Linked DNA regions of Arabidopsis thaliana. The protein of the gene in region 3 interacts with the protein of the main gene of each other region in a pairwise test. Each region holds a gene or a part of one and is shown on either strand. Other genes may lie near its edges.

The links. Proteins that work in one complex are often made in the same cells at the same time.
Region 1: the proteins of PUCHI (region 3) and MNP interact in a two-hybrid assay, tested with the Arabidopsis thaliana proteins (one large-scale study listed by BioGRID).
Region 2: the proteins of PUCHI (region 3) and LBD38 interact in a two-hybrid assay, tested with the Arabidopsis thaliana proteins (one large-scale study listed by BioGRID).

What each region holds. Positions count from the first base shown.
Region 1 is NC_003074.8:18,907,368-18,914,831, forward strand, and holds MNP (GATA type zinc finger transcription factor family protein), read left to right. Parts: upstream 1-3,579; 5' UTR 3,580-3,744; coding exon 3,745-4,263; intron 4,264-4,633; coding exon 4,634-5,002; 3' UTR 5,003-5,241; downstream 5,242-7,464. Other genes in the region: AT3G50880 (DNA glycosylase superfamily protein), read left to right, coding at 6,142-6,963. UniProt on the Arabidopsis thaliana protein: Transcriptional factor that specifically binds 5'-GATA-3' or 5'-GAT-3' motifs within gene promoters (including its own promoter and GATA21 promoter), thus regulating the expression of genes mostly involved in hormone responses and floral organ specification (including genes regulating hormones responses).
Region 2 is NC_003074.8:18,510,514-18,518,354, forward strand, and holds LBD38 (LOB domain-containing protein 38), read left to right. Parts: upstream 1-3,752; 5' UTR 3,753-3,951; coding exon 3,952-4,135; intron 4,136-4,229; coding exon 4,230-4,789; 3' UTR 4,790-5,618; downstream 5,619-7,841. Other genes in the region: AT3G49930 (C2H2 and C2HC zinc fingers superfamily protein), read left to right, coding at 1-380.
Region 3 is NC_003076.8:6,162,221-6,169,792, reverse strand, and holds PUCHI (Integrase-type DNA-binding superfamily protein), read left to right. Parts: upstream 1-3,752; 5' UTR 3,753-3,887; coding exon 3,888-4,934; 3' UTR 4,935-5,267; downstream 5,268-7,572. Other genes in the region: AT5G18550 (Zinc finger C-x8-C-x5-C-x3-H type family protein), read right to left, coding at 7,064-7,423, 7,551-7,572. UniProt on the Arabidopsis thaliana protein: Probably acts as a transcriptional activator. May be involved in the regulation of gene expression by stress factors and by components of stress signal transduction pathways.

The sequences.
Region 1 (7,464 bases), on a different chromosome or scaffold from region 3:
AGACTAAGCACTAAGCAGATTCGTCCGGATTACTCAACAAAACAAAATAAGATTGAGATTTGAGTCTTTGGATCATTTTTCTTTTTGGGTCAAAACGTTGATATTTGTAAGTTTATTGATAATAACAAAAAGATATAAATTATTGTTTCTTAAATAGTCATAAATTACATACAGTTCCTATTTTATCCCATTTTTTATAGTTAAATAATTAATTGTGCTAAATGATTTACCAATTCAATATATATATATATATATATAGTATTTTATATTTAAATTATGTTACTGTTAATGAAATGTTATAACCAATAACTTTTCATATATATATTTCAAGGATTTTTTTTCAGGTATGATGACTACATAATCAGCTACATAATACTACAAAACGATGAAGTATTGGAATGCAAAAATAATCAGCTATTGACTGACCATGATTTGTTATATTTTTGAAACTCAATTGCATGTTTTGTTTTGCCAGCATATATACAAATAACATATCTATTTCGATGAACTATAAAACCCCGTGATTATCCATGGAAACATATATGTGTACCATATCATTATAATTTGGCGATAGAGAACAAAAAAAAGTTATCATGTGGTATTACTATTAGGTATAATGATTTAAGAGGTGGGTCCAATAGCTTTTCCTTTGTTTCTTTTCACTAGTTCAAGATCAAATTTATGGGGAGTATTATTAGTTCTTTGACCTTTCCTTTTTAGAGAGTCCTTCTTTGACCCATCAAGATTCAAGAGCAGAATCTCTCTCTTGCTAAGCTAAGAAAACATGAAAAGTGGAATAAATATTTTTAAAAGAAAGAAGAGTATAGCTCATACATGTGTATGCATTGGTTAATTGGGGGTATGTTGCTTTGATGATTGTAGGAAGGTACTTCACTTGAATAGAGGGGATTCTTCCCTTTATCTTTTGGGTTCTTCACAATCTAATCTATTAGCTTTTCTTTTCATGCAGTATTTTTCTTGTTACTCTAAACCTCTTCCAAATCTTCTTGGATATTCTCATATCATTATGATTCCAAATTCGTTTCTCTTTATTAAAAACCCCAATAAGAATTGGATTCTCATGGTTTTCGATACGTTATTCAGCCATACGACGACTATGAGTGATTCTAGTGAGACTAATTGAGGATTTTTTTTTTCTATTTTTACATGAGAATACTGAAGATGTTTAATTTATCTCTGATTAAATATAATCCATTATACAGCATATTACGATAAGTAACACCGCCTCGTTTGTTTTTGTTTAGCTAGTAAACCGAAATTTTGATCGAATACATTATATAAAAATTCATGTAAAATACTCTACAATATAATACTCTCTTGTAGTCTGAATGTAATTATAAAAAAATGTTTTGTGTAGACATTAGGTAAACCATCTAGAGTATTAGAAACAAAATAATGTAAGTAAACGTAAAACTAAGACGATTTCATGACTAAATTATTTTGAAGGTCGAACCAACCAATCTTAAATACACATATATGAAGAAATATATGTTTTCGAACAAATGGCAATCAAGAAAATGCTTTTTGTGTGTTAATGAAATATAAGGTTGACACATCAATATCGCGTTGATATTCTCATTGTAGATTGTTGGTTATGTAGGGAGACTAATAATGCGAACTAGAAAAAGATATGTGAGTCAACTAAGGTTAGTGTTGATATAGCAACTCTCTTATGTTTTTAAATTTGCCATAAAATAGGTTGTTAGTCCAAATAGCCGATATAAACATCAATAGAAGAGTAATTAATCGTTCCATCGGAACATCCGATGAAATTGGAACGAGACCTATACAGAAGAAAACAAAAGAGCAACTAATCATCTTGATCACATGCCCAATATGCATTTAAGTAAATTGGAGAGAATGATATAGAAAAACAAGACATTATCTACAACTACAAGATATCAAAGCACTCGGTTAACCGCGTCCCTGTGAAGTGTTAGTTATCAGTACATGAATTGTGATTTCAGCATCTTGGTCCTTTTTTTTTTGGACAACCGTCATCTTTTTCTTGATCGGTTTTTATAACGTACAAACATATACTATTTCAACAGTTTTCTTTTAATTTTTTTTTTTTTTGAATATACACTTTCTTTCTTTTATTTGTTTGATTACAAAATTTTCAAAAAATAGTGTTCGGCAAAAAAAAAAATTAGATCGGCCAATGCATTATATCCCCTAGCGTAAGCTCTTTTTCAACCAATCGAGAGTCCATGTTTTCAATAAAAATAGGGTTTTATTAGTAACAGTAGTTAAAGCATTTAACATACGTAATCCCAAAAAAATAAAATAATTCTGTATAGGGACGAAGACTAGTATTCGTTGACGACAAGAGTAGAGTAGACTCTAGCTAGCTGCAAGTTTTGAAGAAATCTAATAACCAAATCTAAGTCATTTTACTTACATCATCATGGATCATCATTAACCACATGAGGCTGAGCAGATATCGAACGTGTGATTGCGATGTGGAGAAGTAAAGGACGAGGCCACGCGCAACTGAGCAGGAGCGCGTGAGATTCAGGGTTTTAGGGCAGAGATACGGAAAGAGACAGAGGTTTTATAGCATTATATTGAAAGAGAACAAATAAAAATAAAAATATGAGCCTCGTGATCGGAGATTTTTGCAGTGATGACTGTACTCTTCTTCCTCTTCTCTCCCCCTTGTCACGTGGGCTAAATTTTGACCACCCTTCTTCAATGACCATCAACATCGCATCACACTCTCTCCTTCTTCTTCTTCTACGTTTTTTATTTTCTGTTAAATTTCCTCCACAAAATCGATAATTTCAATTTTTTCATACAATATCATAGTTCTAGTAAAGTAAACATTCGTGTGTGAGTGACATAATAATTGCTTCAAAAAGAAATAACGAATTAATAAGAGTTGTGTGCTTGATGGTCCAAAAGTCGTATGTTTTTCACCATCACAATAAGATTTACCATATCTACTTAAACCAAACTTCAATCTATGATATTTGGAAGCTAGCAATGAATGATTTTGTTTTAGCATATGTTACCGAGCCTATTCATCTTTAGATTGAAAGTTTTGTGTCCAACAACTAGCAAACCCTTCGCTTTTTAAACCAAGATCAGTTTTTCTACATAGTTTCGACTTTTTGTTATTTTACTTCCCATCATATTTTGTTTTATTTACTACTGACATTTTCATAATGTACGGTACATTTTCATATATTAGCATCCTTATCTAAAAGCTAATCAACTCCATAACGTACTTGAAATAGGGATATTTTAGTTGAATTATTCAAAACAATCACACAGTGACACAGACTCTATGTAGACCAAGCATGTGTTATGTAATTAGAAAAAATAAACTGTGATTAAAATATCTTTTAACTTGTTAACTTGGCTGCCTAAAGAAACTTGATACTGTATCATCGTTCATCGTATTTTGTAATTAATAAAACATAAAAAAGCAAGGAAAACCCATTTGAGTAAATGATATATTAATATTACTTCGTAAAAAGCTGCGTCCCCACATATTCTATTGATTTTAAATACTATTCGTATTAATATAAACCTGCATATAAGCGTACATATACATTTCTGATTCTATATATAGGTGTGAGACCTTCTTCTCCATTCTACACTTCACTCCAACGTGAAACCTGCAAACTGAACTTATCTCTTCATATTTTCTTTAGCTTCTCTTAATTTTACACTTAGGGTTTTCAAACCAGTAGAGAGAGAGAGAAGTGTGTAAGAGCGATGATGCAGACTCCGTACACTACTTCAACGCAGGGGCAATATTGTCATTCTTGTGGAATGTTCCACCACCATAGCCAAAGCTGCTGCTACAACAACAACAACAACTCCAACGCCGGTTCTTACTCGATGGTCTTCTCCATGCAAAACGGTGGCGTTTTCGAGCAGAACGGTGAGGACTATCATCACTCTTCCTCCCTCGTTGACTGCACTCTCTCTCTTGGAACTCCTTCTACGAGGCTTTGTGAGGAAGATGAGAAACGTAGACGCTCTACTTCATCTGGTGCTTCTTCTTGCATCTCCAACTTTTGGGACTTGATTCACACCAAAAACAACAACTCCAAAACGGCACCGTACAATAACGTTCCTTCTTTCTCCGCTAACAAGCCAAGTCGCGGTTGTTCCGGTGGTGGTGGTGGCGGAGGAGGCGGTGGCGGAGGTGACTCTCTTCTCGCTAGACGCTGTGCCAACTGTGACACTACTTCTACTCCACTATGGAGGAATGGTCCTAGAGGCCCTAAGGTGACTTATTTATTTTAATTTTTATTAAAATGCAACTTCTTTTAATCAACACATGAAATGAAGATTTACAATAACCAAAAAGACAGTTCATCCCTTTGTTTTGAATATTTGCCTATCTGTTTTTTCACTAAAACCAATAAATCCCTTTCTCTATAGTTTAATTTATTGAAAGAAACATTAAATAATGATTTTGATGGTTCAGTAAATTTACTTGAATATAAGTTTTAAAACAGATATTTCAATAAAAGACATTAATTTATTTTCTTTTCGAATATTTTCATCACTATATAGAGATTTATGTATTGAACGAACATTAAATATAAGATATATTGATGGCTAATGATGATATGGATGGTTTTGGAATTTGCAGTCCCTATGCAACGCATGCGGCATTCGTTTCAAGAAGGAAGAGAGAAGAACTACTGCGGCTACAGGAAACACCGTCGTCGGAGCTGCACCGGTTCAAACCGACCAGTACGGGCATCACAACTCTGGCTACAATAATTACCATGCTGCCACTAATAACAACAATAATAATGGTACTCCGTGGGCTCATCACCACTCGACGCAGAGGGTTCCGTGTAATTATCCGGCAAATGAGATCAGGTTCATGGATGATTACGGCAGTGGAGTAGCAAACAACGTTGAATCCGACGGTGCTCACGGCGGTGTTCCGTTCCTTTCTTGGAGGCTTAATGTAGCGGATAGGGCAAGTCTTGTCCATGACTTTACCAGATGAAAGGAGAATAGAAAACGACGTTAGATTCTCTTAAAATTTCCATGTGGTTTAATTATGTCTAATTAAAAAAAAACCAAGAAAATATTTCTGAAAAAAATAGAAGTGTATATCGAGAGACGATGTTGATGTTTATTGATAGTGACGGTCTAACTTATGGTTTATCTATAAAGTACCGTTCTGGTCAATTTTTAAAATCATTTTCTAATATTTATTTTAAAAATATAACCTTCTTTTTATGGAAATCTTCTCTTCTCTAGTCTATAAAATAAACACTATAGTTAGATTCTTCTATTGATTACACAGTGATCGTCATAAAACATTACAGATGTAATCAAAACATTAGAAAGAAAAACAAAAAATGAAAGATGTGCATAAGAGAAAACACACAGACCAAAAATATAGACATAGGATATAACTCTTTTAATGTATATAGTTTAGAGTTGAACGGAGAAGTTTCAGTTCCACCTGAGTCCCTGAATTTCACAACTGAGACTTTAATAATAATAATATTCTTACTATTGGTTAATAAAAAATAGAGAAAATAAAATAAAAATTAGGGTGTTTGGTAGTGAAGATTGAAATCTGATCGTCGAATTGGGGAGAGATTAGATTCTGATCGTACCAATGTGGGTTTTGGTACTGTTGTGTTTTCAGTTTTGGATCAGAGAGCATTGTAGTGATTTAATGAACATATATTTGTCGTATTATGCTCTGCTTCTTCCTCCTTTATATTTTGACCGTCGTTTTGTCCTTTACTCACTCCTCTCTTCTTGACCTTTTGTTCGTGTCAATATGTGCTCTCAAGAATATTGTTTTTCTTCCTTTTTAATTACTTACTTTTTCCGATTTTTTATTACTGAACCGATTCTGCAACATGTTTTGTACTAGTAACCAGCTTTTTAATCCATCTCTCTCTGCACGATCATATAAAATATACGTTATTTTTTTTCAATTCAGGCGTCGACAAAGAAATAACTGTTTTGTTGTACTTAACATGTTGGATCATATTTTTTTTACTGTAACAGGGCTTTTATTATGGGCTTATCGATTTTCATTAAGGCCCAATGAAGAATATCGTCGCGAGTGATAAAATTTCGAATTTCTGCAATTACTAACAATTAACAAACTCGGCCGTCGTCATGTCTCTCCGTAAAACCCTAACCGCCGTGAATCAATCTTCGTTACCGCCGGATTCTTTAATCTCCGCCGGTAATCTCACTGTTTCAGAGGTCTCTGGTTCATCTTCTAGAATCAGATTTCGTCCTCGTAAAATCAGGAAAGTTTCGTCAGATCCGTCGCCGAGGATCATTATCACCGCGTCTCCTCCTCTATCAACAAAATCGACTGTTGATATCGCTCTACGTCACTTACAAAGCTCCGATGAACTTCTCGGAGCATTAATCACAACGCACAACGATCCTCCACTGTTCGACTCAAGTAATACTCCGTTTCTCTCCTTAGCGAGATCAATCCTATACCAACAACTCGCGACGAAAGCAGCGAAATGTATCTACGATCGATTCATCTCTCTATTCAACGGTGGAGAAGCAGGTGTTGTTCCTGAATCTGTGATCTCACTCTCCGCCGTTGATCTTCGTAAGATCGGTGTCTCCGGGAGAAAAGCTAGTTACCTCCACGATCTAGCTGATAAATACAACAACGGTGTGCTTTCTGATGAATTGATTCTGAAAATGAGTGATGAAGAGTTGATTGATAGGTTAACTTTGGTTAAAGGAATTGGAGTGTGGACTGTTCATATGTTTATGATCTTCTCGTTGCATAGACCTGATGTGTTGCCTGTGGGAGATCTTGGTGTGAGGAAAGGTGTGAAAGATCTTTATGGTTTGAAAAATCTTCCAGGTCCATTGCAAATGGAGCAGCTTTGTGAGAAATGGCGTCCTTATAGGTCTGTTGGTTCATGGTACATGTGGAGACTAATCGAGTCTCGTAAGACCAAATAGCACCTGCCTGGTAATAGTTTAACAATACCTCTCTTTTTAGGTTGATAGTAACTAGAATTGTTATGTTACATAGACAAACTTGATTCTTTATAGAATATTTCATGCTTGACTTGGAAATTTGAACAGTTACATGATTAGAAAGGATAGGAGTATAACATTTGTTTGACATTAAGTTCTCTGGATTGGTTTTTGTTTGGAATGCTTTCTAGAAGTAGAAATCTCCCAAATCTTAAAACAAGAATCATAAAGTATTTATCTTTTCTTGATGTATCTTGTTTATCTAGCAATAGTATCAATCCTAGTAAGTAACATGACGATACTTTATCACTGAAGCTTCTATATCTGGTAGTTATCGTTGAAGTGTGATTTGTTGCAATCAATCATTTCAGTAATCGGGCAGTTAATATGATCCTGTGACGAAGAAGCTTTTCCATGCCCATCACTTCCTTTCCAAGTTTCACTTGCTGGTAATCTGAGTTATTTTGTGTCTGTAAATTATGG
Region 2 (7,841 bases), on a different chromosome or scaffold from region 3:
ATCAGAAAGATTACAAGTGTTCCGTCTGTGGCAAATCTTTCCCGTCTTACCAAGCGTTAGGTGGACACAAAACAAGTCACCGGAAACCGGTTAGTGTCGATGTTAATAATAGTAACGGAACCGTTACTAATAACGGAAATATTAGTAACGGTTTAGTTGGTCAAAGTGGGAAGACTCATAACTGCTCTATATGTTTTAAGTCGTTTCCCTCTGGTCAAGCATTGGGTGGTCACAAACGTTGTCACTATGATGGTGGTAACGGTAACAGTAACGGTGACAATAGCCACAAGTTTGACCTAAATTTACCGGCTGATCAAGTTAGTGATGAGACAATTGGAAAAAGTCAACTCTCCGGTGAAGAAACAAAGTCGGTGTTGTGATTATTATTATTTTTTACCGATCGGGATTAGCTAGTGGTTGATCATTAGCTGAGTCTGTAATGAAAATGATTGGAGTGGACTTTGGATTATTTTAATTTCTGTTTACGTATATGGAAAGAAAATAATCTTCAAATGTTTATTCGTTGTTGGTTTTTGTTTATAAAAAGTAAAAAAAAAAAAGGATATATTTGAAATTATTATTAATTTTGTTAATAATAAAAAGAATTGGATTAATGAAAATTGAAAACTACTATTTCATGGAAACTTCCTACTGTTGTTTTTCTTCATTACTTGATTAATTTTTCATTTACTATTTCCGCAAGCAAAGGAACCACTTCTTTGAATCTGTCACTCCCAGCTTGAAGTGATCTGTTCCTAAGAATTTAACTATTTGATTAAACATTTCAGATTTCTATTTAAAAACATAATTTGATAGGAGAAATAGTATTAATTTTGGGTTATGTTAGTATTAATTATTGAAGTAGTGATAGATCGGTTAGTAGTACCTAACGAAGCTAATCCTTAAGTGGCTTGTCGACTTTGATTGGTTGGCACTCACACTTCCCTCCACGCTTAAATTATTTTTATAATTCTGTATTATTTCGTTTTCACGAGTTTTACGAGTCTTTTAATAATTAATTAATTGTATAATTTGTTACGATAAATATCTTACACGTCTTAATCGATCCCAGTTCTTATGTATCTTCTAAGAAAAAGAGTAGTTATACATTCCGAGAAAAATATGGATATTGGGTATTTTCTGAATTAAATGCCGGGAAAATATTGTTTTTTTGGTGGCACAAAAAATTGACTTATAATTATTCTTTATAACTATATTGTAGTATCTGATGGTTAAGAATTTTTGGAATTATTTTAAGATTTGTTTTTTTCTTGTCAACCGATTTTTATTTAGAGTTCAGAAAACTCATCCCTTAAAAATGTTGTTTATATATGTGATATTATGCGGTTCGGTATAAACTTTTCGTCAAATTAAGATTTGGCTTTGAAAAGACAAAAGCAAAAATTTTAAATCTAAAATGGTGTGGGAAAAAATAATAATAATACCTTGCTAAATAAGACGGAAAATATGTCGTGCAGCTTACTGCTTATACTTACATCTTACATTACCTATTAGGCTATAACCTAATGCTTGTGTTATAAGTCTGTAAGATTTGGTCATTCATTCTCTTTGTACTATTGTCTTCTTATATTGCTAGAAACTTAGAAACTAAAGAATTTCACCAATTTTTGTGGGCATAGTATATAGCTTATTAGCTTGTAATAAGGCCTAATAAGGCCCTCGAGCGTTACAATAACATCCAAATTAGTTTTGGCATGGTACCGTTAAAGTGGTGTTAAACTATTAATTTACCAAAGACTCATTGTTTGGACTTTGGACCATACGAAAAATGCAGTAGAGCCCATAGTGACATAGTGTACCGGCTCTTATAGCTGAGAAATTATATCCCAATTAACAGCCCAGTATTTAATCATTTAGAACTCAACGTGAAAGAGGACATGTTAAAGCCCAACACAAGTCCATAGACTCATGAAATACAAGTCCACAAACCCACCTTATCTAACCATGTAATTAGGTTTTATAGCATAATATAATGAACATCAATGAATGTAAGTAGGAATGCAATTTGTGCAACCTCTATTTGACAATTTCTTTCATTTCTTCTCAATAGTTTACAAGTCTCATACATTGTTTTTGTTCTGTTTTCAAAGAAATAGTTTTGGTTTTTCTATTGTATGCAATATGACTTCCCACTGTACATCATAAACATTGAAGTATATATAATATTTTTTCTATTGTGTTCTGCCGTACGTCTAACTTATAATCTATTTTATAACATTGATTTTACTAAATATATAAAGGTAAAATCTATCTTGTTGCATTCACTTCAGAAAATAAATTTTTGGAAGAAGGGCCACAAAACAATACTAATTTTCAAAAATTGAGATTGAAATTATGTTATAAGATTGATATTTAAAATAGGAATACCGTTGTAAAAATAAGTAGTTGATTTATCGAACATCTAAGCATCTGTTTAACACCAATTTTATGTCGTTGTTGATCAAAACTGTCGCGTTCAAGTGTCTTGTGTCGACTAATTAAGCAAATGAACTTTAGGTACCAGAAGTTCAACGAAACAATAATGCATTTTTAAATTACTAATGGACTGAAGTAATTGGGAATAAAGAAATATAAAGAGACGGCGGCATTCAGTGGAAAATTTGCCTAATTGGAGTGTAGGTAAGCACACCACGTAAGCCATGAACGGCGCCGTTTCACCGCATTGCTATAGGAAAGTAGAAGAAGACACTTTGACTTATTAATATCATTTTGTTGTAGATCTTCTGTTCATCATATATTTGATTTTGTTACTAGCTAATGTAAAGGAGAAAAGAAATGTTTGATTTGGTCACACACGTGAGACAGCATCGTAGGCAAAAAAACGCCTCTATCTTTCTTCTAAAACATTTTTCATATTAAATTATCAAAACCCTTAAGGTTGATTTAAGGGTCAGGTAGTGGATTTGTTTCGTTGAAGGGTCAGCTTAGCCTTAACCCTAAACAAAACAATCTCATTGGTTTCATAAATAAATTGTTTACAAAGTATACGTACTGCATGAACGAATGAACCATATCTATATTTATAAAACTCATAGAGACCAATAGTTTAAGAGAGGCACTTATATAGCTCAACAAATAATAGCGAACTAGAGAGAATATGATCTAATTAGTTATAAATCTCAATTTTGAAATTGAAGTGCGTTATTTCATTTGAGAATCTATGTGTTTTTTTTGTTGTTGTTAGATGAGAAGCTAGGTTTTTTTCTTTTCTTTACACCGATAATCGATAATATATGTTAATCACACTGATTTTTGTTTGAGACATGAAGATTCGAAAAATTTGTCAACGAATAAACACTGGATAGATAGAATTGAGATCTGCCATCAAATAATCGAGATCGTTCATGCATGACGCAAACATTTATATAGAAATGAAGCAAGTAAAGAATATGAAAAAGAATAGAAATGAGAAATTTATAAAGAAAGAAAAAAAGAACCAATGGTTGAGGAGGCAACTATTCGCGGGGACACGGAGCCGTTCGCACCCATCACCTTGGAATCTCTCTTTCTTCCTCTCTCCTCATCACCAACTAGTCAACAACCACACACCATTTTTAACTTTCATAATTAAACCTAACATAACATTTTTTTTTGTATAAACTATAGCATAAATTAAATTCAGTTAATGATAAAATAAATATATTTTGTAGCAATCATTCTATTTTGTAATTTGGTAGGGCTCTTTAAACTTTGATTATTATCCAATTTTTATTAAAATATAATAAAATCTCAAAGCCATGACCCATTCCTTCACTCAAGTATCAATGTCTATTGTCTATAAATATTACATAACTCTTCTTCTTCAACCAAACATTGAAACACTTTGTCCCACTCTCTCTCTTTCTCTTTCTTGTACCAAAAGCTTTTTGAATCTCCAAGATTATAGCAAAACCAAAGATAAAATACTAACTTAAAAGATTTCTGAAAATAATGAGTTGCAATGGTTGTCGAGTTCTACGAAAAGGTTGCAGTGAGAATTGCATCCTCCGTCCATGTATTCAATGGATCGAATCACCTGAAGCTCAAGGCCACGCCACCGTCTTCGTCGCTAAGTTCTTCGGCCGTGCCGGTTTAATGTCTTTCATCTCCGCCGTACCGGAATCTCAATGCCCTGGTACTTAAAAACAAAAACCTCTCGGTCCTTTAGATCTTCGTCTAAACGTTGTCGTTTTGGTTTCTGATGGTAAGGGTATTTGGTCTTTTTACAGCTTTGTTTCAGTCTTTGCTATACGAAGCTTGTGGGAGAACTGTGAATCCGGTGAACGGAGCCGTCGGATTGTTGTGGACGGGGAATTGGAATGTTTGTCAAGCGGCGGTTGAGACGGTGCTTCGTGGTGGTTCTTTAAAACCAATACCGGAGCTTCTTAACGGCGGTGGATTCGCCGGGTTTCCGTCTCCTACTTCCGACGAAGCTTCGGAGATCTGTACGGAAATGTTGAATCTACGAAAAGCTGATGATTCCGGTGATCGGAACATTTATCATCACTGCCGATTCTCAAGCTCTAGATCTAGATCAAGATCAACAGCTTCTCCGCCGAAACGGAAACGATTATCGTCGGAACAACAACCTTCGTCGGAGCTTGATCTCTCTCTTATTCCTATTTATCCGATTAAAACCTTGCCGTTTAAGGAAGATACACCGTCGATGTACTCGGAGGAGTCTGTTACCACGGTTTCGTTTCAAAACAACAACGCCGGTGATCGGTACGTACGCTGCGGCGGAGGAGGAGGAGGAGCAACGACAAAGTTGCTCAATCTCTTCGCTTGAACGGCGTCGTTTTTGTTATGAGGGTTAAAAATGTAATTTCGAGTAACTTTTTGTTGTGGCCTTTTTTGGATTAATAGCCCTTAATATTTTGTGAAATGTAGCAAATTACGTGATTTATTTCTCTCTTTAATTATGAGAAATTATCCAAAGTAATAGAGAATAATGATATAATTCGTCGGTGGTGTACTATTTTATTTTTAGTTCATAATCAATTAATCATCATTCTCATCGAATTCAAATTAAAAGATAACAATGATAATGTGTACGATAAATCAATACTTATTAGCTACTAAATTATTTGTTTTTATCGACATATTCAACATTAATAATAATAATCACGAATCGGAGTCAAAATATACATCTCTCCAAATCCAAAGCACCGGCAAAGTCTTCGCACCCAACATATTTCGATTCTTTAAGGACCAACATGTTGTAATGTACACACAATCATACACAACTTGCTATTTTGATAATCATCTTGATTACTACTCGCAAAACAAAATATTAGCATTTATTATCTCCAGGTTTATTGTCTTTCGATACTACATTTGTTATTCAATGGTTTAATGATACCTAGTAATAGTATAACACAATAGTACGTATTCCTCGAGATGTGATGATCTTTTTGTGATATCTCAAATTATCCTATACTAGTACTGCAACGGTCTTCTTCGCAACACTCTCAATGGCATATGTACATCTTCATGTGTTTCTTTCTATGTTTAAGATTAGTCTACCACACATTCTCCGGATGAATACAAACTCTAAAAAAGATTAAACAAGGTGCATTACATAATATAAGTAATTGTATGTATAGAGTAGATATGCATTATATAATGCATGTAGTTGGGTTGAACCCAAAAAGTTGGGGTTATAAAGGGAAAGCTTTTGGGGGAGGCGGCTTTTGGACGACGCAAAGAGCCGTTTATGTCACACTTCATACCTTCGTGGAATCTTCAAAAGCACTCTTTTTTTATTGTTCTTCTATTCTTCTTCACATTTTGTTTAATAAAAACAACAAGGTATTGTTGCTCTATGGATGATGGCGTAGAAACAATGAAATTGACCAATAACATGTTTGCTTTTGAAACGTTGAAATGAGAATGGATTGTTGTTGGAACAGAAGAAGTGATTTGAAGATCTTATGAAGTGGGACATATTTTAAATATACTTTCGACCAGCCAGTCACTAGTGGGCAAACAATTGCTTGTGGTCCACGTCACTCTCCTTTCCTTTTCCGACCACCGGACTCTTTATGTTATTTTTGAAAAATATAAGTTTTTAGTTCTGACCATTTCAAGTTTTATCAACAACCGGGTATCATCATTCGTTCAATCTCGTCTGTTTTTTACATCTAATTAGTGTCTAATCATGAGTTACAAAATTTATGGAGCTAAATTTCTTTTTCTACTTTTAAACTATGGAGCTAACTATACTAGACGAATTCGCTTTTTAAAAATTTGGGGAATACAATATAACAATATGGATGGATAAACATGAATCCATCAAGTATAATGAGAATAAAATAACATTAGCAAGATTCGTGTTTAATGCCAAAAGCCACGAGCAGCCGCAGTTTCTTATGGGCCCAATACTTTCATCACCTTCTCCACTTAAGTCGGTGTGTGTGAGTCCACTTGATGTTTTCTTAAACTTTTCTTCCGAAAACGAACAAAACTTTAGTTAATTATTTGTCTTTGGTATGAATGTCAAGAAAATGGTAGTTAAATTAGTAAGGAATAACTAAACTTAAATAATCAAGTTGAAAATTAAAACCCTAGGTCTCACATGATTATGAAACATTTACTACTTTGTGTATTCCAAAAAACATGGTGATCAATAAAAAAATTTGAAGGTGAAAACAAAACGACGTGGATTATCAAATGATCACAAGAAAACTAGTCAATCTAAATAGAATATCAAATAACGACAAAAAAATAGAATATCAAATAATTAATTAAGACCATCAAAATCAAGTTGGTATTCATAATGATTCTGGATAAAATACAGAATTAAGTAAGTGATTTTTTTTGGATATATATATATATATATATATGATTTTTTTTTGGTGTGTTAATTCATAATGATTCTGGATAAAATACAGAATTAAGTAAGTGATTTGTTTTTGGATATATATATATATATATATGATTTTTTTTTTGGTGTGTTATATATATATGAATGATAATAGTAAAGTAATATTTTCTCATTATTTCAATTTTTATTTTTGCAAAAGTTATATATACATGATTATCTGACTCTCAAATAAAACAAAAACTAGGGTTAGCTGAATATTAGCTACCAAATAACATTTTATCAACCGGTAAACACACATTAGACCATAACATCTTGATATGTAACCGTACATAGTTCTTGATGAATTTTTTCGTACATTACTATACAAAGTGATATATTAATTTTCTGAAACTCAAAAAACGTTATGCTTAAAGCTGCATATATTGTAACCAAAGACTTTTTAATAAATTTTACATTACAATGATTCAAAAAAAGAAAAAAAAGTGATATATTAATTTCTACAACACATATTTGGAAATTTTTGTAACTGAATGTCATCATGTCCCGATTATCCCCAGAGATTTTGTATATGAACCTCTTTAAAAAACAATCTCAATTGTTTGTTTCTTGCTTTTAGTTTTCTCAAGTCTTTTGCTATTCAAGAGTTTATCGAATAAGTTTCTTGTGGATCAATATCACTATCTAATTTCTAACGATTGATTTTGTTATTAATATAGATGATCATAAGACTTAGCTTGGTCTACATTTTTTGTGGTTCTTAGGGTTTTGTGTGATCATTCTTCGAGTAAGGTGAGGACCCAAGAGCCATCTTGCCCCTTCAAATCTTTTGTTGGCCGTACATTCATTTACACTTAATTAGGATATTCTTTTCTTAAAGCAAAAATAGAGTTTAACAAATAAAATATAAAAATAAGATAACTCTAGTCTTTGATCTTTATCGACTCTTCTAATGTCGGATTGATTCAAGTTTTATAGTATGATTATTAATGAGAACGTCACTAAGATAATCAAGTGC
Region 3 (7,572 bases):
CCTCTGGTTTCTGAGCAAAACATTGAATAATACCGAAAGACATCAAACTTTTAAACATAAAAATCGAAATTGTTAAATAGGATATCATCATTCTTAATTTACACTTTCTTTAGATGAAAAAAAATTCATTTAAAACATTACAGGATTGATAAATATAAACGAATTTAGTAAGAATAACTATTGATACTAATTAATTTGAATCTTCATGACCTTGTTTTGTCGGAAACATATGTAATTCAATAGCAAACTAATAGTGAAGCCCCACTTGGCTTTTTGGTCACACTGTCTAGACTCTCGTCAAAGTCCAAGTTTGTTCTAAGACAACCTTTACCCCTAAATCCCGGGGATGTCCTTTTGACACAAAAGAAAATTTAAATCACAACAAATTTATTAAATTTCATAAGAAAAAGTTTTGGCTTTTCATTAGCTGTTCAAAATTTTCTGAATATTTCCTTTGCCTTTTTTTGGAGAAATGTGAAGAAATTCTCCATTCATAAACCCAAGAAAGCCTCGATCACATGGAACTTGACTAAAAAGATTTCCACCCAAAAGTGTTCAATACTTCAATAGTGCAATCCCAATATCGTGCACAAAGCCAGTTGGGATTATCACATGTTATCTTAAATTATTTACCCATATTTTGAAAACACGTACAAAGAGATAGTTTATTTTTGCCTCTCTGAGTTTTTGTAGGGAAAATTCAGATTAACTTCAAATCTTTCAACCATTACGTAAGTTCTATATTAACAATAGCAAACGTCGACATTTATAAGTAAACAATTATCCCGTGCAACATAACAAAAATATTGAACTATAACCATTTAACCAATGGGATAGTATTTTTTGTATATTCATAAGTTATAATTTTTATGAATCTCAATATGTATATATATAAAATTCCTTTTCAAATTTGATGAACTAAAATAATGAGGCATAAATACCAAAAGTTTAGGTATTAATTAGTTGCTGACTTGCTGTGAATTATACTTTCATGTATTATTTTTGACTCATTATAAATACTCCAAAACATTTCGACAAAATAATATCAATTTTATACGAGAATATCTTCGTCTTTTAGATAAATATAATGAATATAGGTGTAGATAAATTATCATATTTAAGAAAAACCAATGTATAGTTGATTGAATTACATTATCACTAATTATAATTTCAGTGGTAATAATGCGTAAAAACAATTTATGTATACGGGAAAAATAATCAAATGTAAGGTTAGTCCCACATCAACTTCAAAATCTTAGTGGAGTAGTCAAGGGTCGTCTGATTCTTATATAGCTTAAGCTTGTCTTTAACCCCAATTCTTAAAAGGGATGACATATATTAATAAATTCACCCAATTAAGCATTTATTACTTTATTCTAATCATTACGTTTTAGAACTCTATGTAACATCCGGACACGAATTAAAGTTCTGTAAAATTTGCCTACAGTTTTGATGCAAACATTCCTACCTATACAATTGATTAGTTGTATAGTACCACTCTATATTTCGGCCTAATAATCCGATATAAATTTAGGTAAAATTAATCTTTGTTTTGATAAAACTTCAGTAGAGTTATATCTGGCGCACAACATTTTTGGTGTGTTTGGTAAATTGTATCGCTAGGATCGGAACGGTTGCACCAGAAGATGATGACTATATCGTGGTCCGACCACAATTGTATTACTGTTGTATTAGTCAAAGATATAATTCTAAAAGAGCCAAAATTAATATCATCATATATTATAGTATTAATAGTTTGACTCATTTATACTATGAAAAAAGAATTATAATTTTCATTCCCAATGCCATTAAGCAATGTGCAAAAAGCTTTACCAAGAATCGTCACATTTCCAACCCTTAATACAAGGAGTCCATCACACTTTTGTACCGTAGCCCATTCGGTTAAAAAGGCAAGGTATTCATTCAAATCTAATTAATTTGATTGTTGGTTTACGTGGCTTATATGACGTAGTATTTGTTTTTGCTACAAAAACTTGTGTAGTCATTTGCAGGATTTCTATTAATGCTCGTATATATTTACGTAAGTTTTTGCTAAAAAGGCTAATATATACTTGCATATTACGTACTTCACACCAAAAGTACTAACTTATCCATATATATGAGCATTAGCCTTTTATAACATCATCAAATTAGATATACTAAAGATTATCTAACAGACTAACACTTAACCAAAAAGATTTCAATACAGATCAAAGCTTATCACACCAAATCTATATGTTTGCCTTTATTGAGTTCTACTATAAGAATTTTTGTATATGTATTCTTCCCAAGACTAATTAGTTAATGAAAATATGTACTCTCTTATTAACTAGAACGTTCTATTAATTATACATTTTTTCGAACATGGAATACATAAAAATATCAATCTAAATTCCACAATGACTGAAACGTAAGTGTTCTTACTCTTTTGAAAAGTTTGATTAAAGTCTCTAAACTAAATAATCCAGAGTTTGATTAGAGCTCATAGTCATCTTCTAATTGTTCTGTTTTTCTTTGAACTCTTACTTAACAGTCGTGTTATCGTTGACTATGAGCAATTTTCTTGATTCATCAATAGAACTGTTGTCGGGTAAGGCATTAACTTCCTAATGCAATCATATATGAAAATAGACGAAGCTCCTATGTATATATATATAATCCTACAAAACTACAAACACAAAGAGACTAAGATTGTTGTTGACTTGTGCTTGTTTGCAACTTTGCATACAAGGACATCAATACAAAATTGTCCACTGAGCTATTTAATTAAAACCAAATTTATACGTACTTCCTAAGCATTTTAATTTTTGTTTAGTTCATCGTGTCTTTCTCTAAACCACTCCCATTGAAAAATCAGAACAAGGTGACAAAATTGTTCTCATTTCTATTTCCGCTTAAAATGCGGGTAACCATGTGATTTGATCAGGGGTTGTAGAAACTAACACTGATTTTGAAATATATTTATTTTTGAATTGTTGATATATTGTGTTAGAAAATAACATTATCGAACCTACCTCAGTGCACTCAAATTAATTGGACATCCTTATCGTAATTAGCAATGCATGCATATCATCTCAAGGATATATCAATTAAGTAGGGGATTTAACCTAAAGAAATATATCGATTATTTTTACGTAGACCCTTGACCTTTAGGCTAAGGTATGTAGGGTTATTATGCATGTTGCACGTGACCACTAAGTAGATTATTTGAGTTAATCAATTAGCTTGATCCCATTGAAATAGAAGATTCAAATAGGATGATGCAATATATACATCACAATTACTTTTCTTAAGTTACTCGGTACTTAGTATGTATTTATTACTTGTTCTTTCTTCTAACTCGAGATTGGTTACTGTGACATTCCAGATTTTGCTGTAGTTCCAATGATTCTTGGCCTCTGTTTTAGGCTTTCATAAGTAGCCATCCGTGTATATACATACATATATATACTGTACACACAGTTAAAATTAAGACTGTTTTAAAAAAAGAAACCCTTAATAATAATCAGTCAATTAAGCTGTTTAAAATTTGTATGAATTTATTTCAGCTGGTTAAGCCATATAAAAATCCAACTAATGTGTCAGCGTTTTTTTTTTTGTTTTTTTTGTCGTTGATGCAAAATATAATATCTTTGGAAATATAATAAAAGAAACAAAACAAAAGATGGTCTACTAAAAGCAGTTGAATCAAAAGTGAAGTCTCTCTATCTTCTCTCTCTATCAAGCTCATTGTCTCTCTATTTATAACAACACTTCACTTCCATTCTCAAACAGCACCATCATCTTTAGACAGAAGCAAAGCCAAAAAAAAACTTACTCATCATAAGATATCTTTAACCAAAACCCTAAAAGAAACCTCCTTTCAAAAAAACCATTTCTTCATCATCATGTCAACCTCCAAAACCCTAGACCATAATAAACCATTTGAAACATCCCAAACGCAAATGGGTTTTGCTCTGATCCACCAAAACACATCCGCCAACACAACCACCACCACCACAACCGGCGAGAGACGAGGCCGGAGATCAAAGCAAGCGGAGCCAGGGAGGTTCCTAGGAGTCCGGAGACGTCCATGGGGTCGTTACGCAGCCGAGATAAGAGATCCAACCACCAAAGAACGTCACTGGCTAGGCACTTTCGACACAGCTCACGAAGCTGCTCTTGCCTACGATAGAGCTGCTCTTTCAATGAGAGGTACTCAAGCTCGAACCAACTTCGTCTACACTCCAACTGATGTCCACACCATCCTCACAAACCCTAATCTCCACTCTCTCATTGTCTCTCCTTACAATAACAACCAATCTTTCTTACCAAACTCTTCTCCACAGTTTGTCATCGATCATCATCCTCATTATCAAAACTATCATCAACCACAACAACCTAAACACACTCTCCCCCAAACTGTCTTACCCGCGGCTTCTTTCAAAACGCCAGTTCGTCATCAAAGCGTGGATATTCAAGCGTTTGGTAATAGTCCTCAAAACTCATCTTCTAACGGCTCGTTATCTTCTTCACTAGACGAAGAAAACAACTTCTTCTTCTCTTTAACAAGCGAAGAACATAATAAGTCCAATAACAACTCGGGTTACTTGGATTGCATTGTCCCAAACCACTGCCTTAAACCACCTCCGGAGGCCACCACCACCCAAAATCAAGCCGGAGCTAGTTTCACAACTCCGGTAGCAAGCAAAGCCTCTGAACCATATGGAGGGTTTAGTAATAGCTACTTCGAAGATGGTGAGATGATGATGATGAATCATCATGAGTTTGGTTCGTGTGATCTCTCTGCCATGATCACGAACTATGGTGCTGCTGCCGCTTCAATGTCAATGGAAGATTACGGGATGATGGAGCCGCAAGATTTATCTTCTTCTTCTATCGCTGCTTTTGGAGATGTCGTTGCAGACACTACAGGCTTCTACTCAGTCTTTTAGAACATTCTATATTATATATGTTTTTTATATATGCAATAATATTATTAGTATTTACGTTATTCGATGGTCGTTTGATTGTTGTTGTTAACTATATGTTATCGACTTTATTATATAAATCCTGCTTATTGTTTCATGCATCATAAGGTTACCTTACCTTGAAGTTTTGATTTGTTTTTTCTTTAATTTGTATTATGGTTTTGATTAGCAAAAAGGGATAATCCGAGTTGTATTAAAGACCACTTTTTGTCCATGCTACTTCGACACACTCATTATGTATATTTTATAAGTGTGCTATATTATAATAATAATGAAATCAAATGACTTGCTCCAAACGGATAAATGACTAGGATCGGAGTGAACAACTAATATATCACATGTAATATTAGGATTATAAGATCAGATGCAAATACCCCATTTTTCTATTTTTGATCAGTATGTGCTCAGATATTATGATTATTTTATGACAGTTATAAATTTTGACGTTAGTTTGAATTATAACATAATTGAGAGTCTAAGTTATAAAATTTAAAATTTAAAATTAGTGAATGTGAGATGGACTTTTAGTGAAGTAGCATGATGGTGTTTTTGGTCGTTAAACATGTGTTTTGGTCATGACTTGTTTGGTATTTCATTGCACAATCACTGTTTCATGTCTCCCTCCTTTTGCCTATATTTTGCCTTAACTTTTGTCTACAACAACTCAACATCACAACTCTTTATTTCATTTTTAAATCTGTTTAAGGTTTTTGACTTTCTTTCATAGAACTCAATTAGTGCCTTCTCCAATGTTGATCAACTATACACTTTTTTTGTTAACTCAACAAAGATCCAATCCTGTTATACTAGTCAAACATATATACGTTGGGAATTCATCATATATATATATGCTTCACAATTTGTCTAGCTTCAAATTAAATAACTTCCAAATAGTTACTGAAATTTGTATTGTTAATTATCTGTTTTGCATGCGTCAATATATATAACGATTTAGGCAAAATGTTCATTTTACTATAAGAAAAAAATAAATTAACTCGATAAAGACTGTAGAGTATGTGAAAAATATTTTAAAACAATCGATATTTTAATTTTAAAAAGAATTAAACAATCGATTAATATCTCCACAACTATGTGAAGTCTACTGTAACTCGTATATAAAGACATGTATATCTTTAATCTTTAAACAGTCTTAATTATGGTAGATCTAAGTAGTAACTCAGAGAAAAAGCATTTAATGATTAGGAGTAGTTTTTATTGGGTTGTTGAGAACTTTAGTTGTGATGTTTTCAGTGAACAAACTCATGATTATGGTTTTTCTGTTGTTTGAGTAAAACTAGACGCAACGAACAAACCACACACATGCACATGTTATATCACCAACACAAAGAACCAAGTACGAGAATTACTGACTACTACTTCCACATTAACAGTAGTTTTTTTTTTTTTTTAACTTCTTTTTCATTTATATTTACGTTTGTATCTCATGATCAACGTCGTACGGAATGGAATGTAGAACAAAAAAAGAAACGTGACCCTAAGATCTGTTCTGTTCTGCTTTCTGTTTCGTCAGGCTCTTCCACTTCTTGTTACTCTTCCAAACAAATCTTTAGAATCGGATTGCTTCAAACGAATATTGAGGTTGCGTTTACTGTATAACATGTTGTACTTTTCTATTAAAAAAAAGAAAATACTTTGACATGTATACATGAAAACATCCGCAAGCATAAGTCTATAAAAATTGGACTATTAATTAGTTAATTCCCATATTCCATAAAGTTTTAAAAATAAACAGGGGATTTTTGTGAATATATAAGGCCATTTATTAATCATCGTTTCCAAAAAGAAAAAGAAGAACAAAAGACAGAGAGATGGCCGTATGAAGGAATAATATGAACATGGTAAGAGAGACCTAAGAGGAGAGACATGACATAGAAGAGTAGAGAGAACTCCTTTCGTCTATCTCTCTGCTTTGCTTTCTGTTGTTGTCTCTCCACCCAAAAAATATCCTTTTTATGTTCCTGAGTTCATGAAAGTTTGATGAAAAGAAGAAGAGAGATATAGAGAGAATAAGAGAGATAATAATCTAAGAAGAATAGAGAGAGATTCTCTTCTCTCCTTTAAGATTTGTCTCTTTAACTTGAAGTCTTAGCCTCATTGCTAGCTGAATCACCTTTATTGGTCTCAGCAGGCTCGGGATGGCTCACATCACTGGTCATAGAAGAGACTCCAGCAGCCACAGTTTCTGAGCCACCAGTTGTTGTTGTTATAGGTTCAATAGAGCTGGAAGAGATAAGCTCAGTGCATTGGTCAGATGAGGATGATGGAGCTAATGTGCCGAGCGAGGAGGGGTAAGGTGCGACGGGCATGTCCGTGAGTGAAGAAGGGGATGGGCTGTAGCTTAGTGAAGAAGAGCCCAAGGAGTGGTCAAATTTGCAGGCAGGCCCAAACTTGCAAATACCGTGTTGCGCAAAGTGAGTGCATGGCACTGCGCCCTGCAAAACAGAGTTTCAGAATCACATCAAGAAACAGAGTTTTCCATTTTAACTTCTCATAAGTCATTACTAAAACTCTACTCTTGATCATGAGAATTTCATGATTAATGGCGTATATATGACTTACGGGACGAAGTGGGAGGCCAATG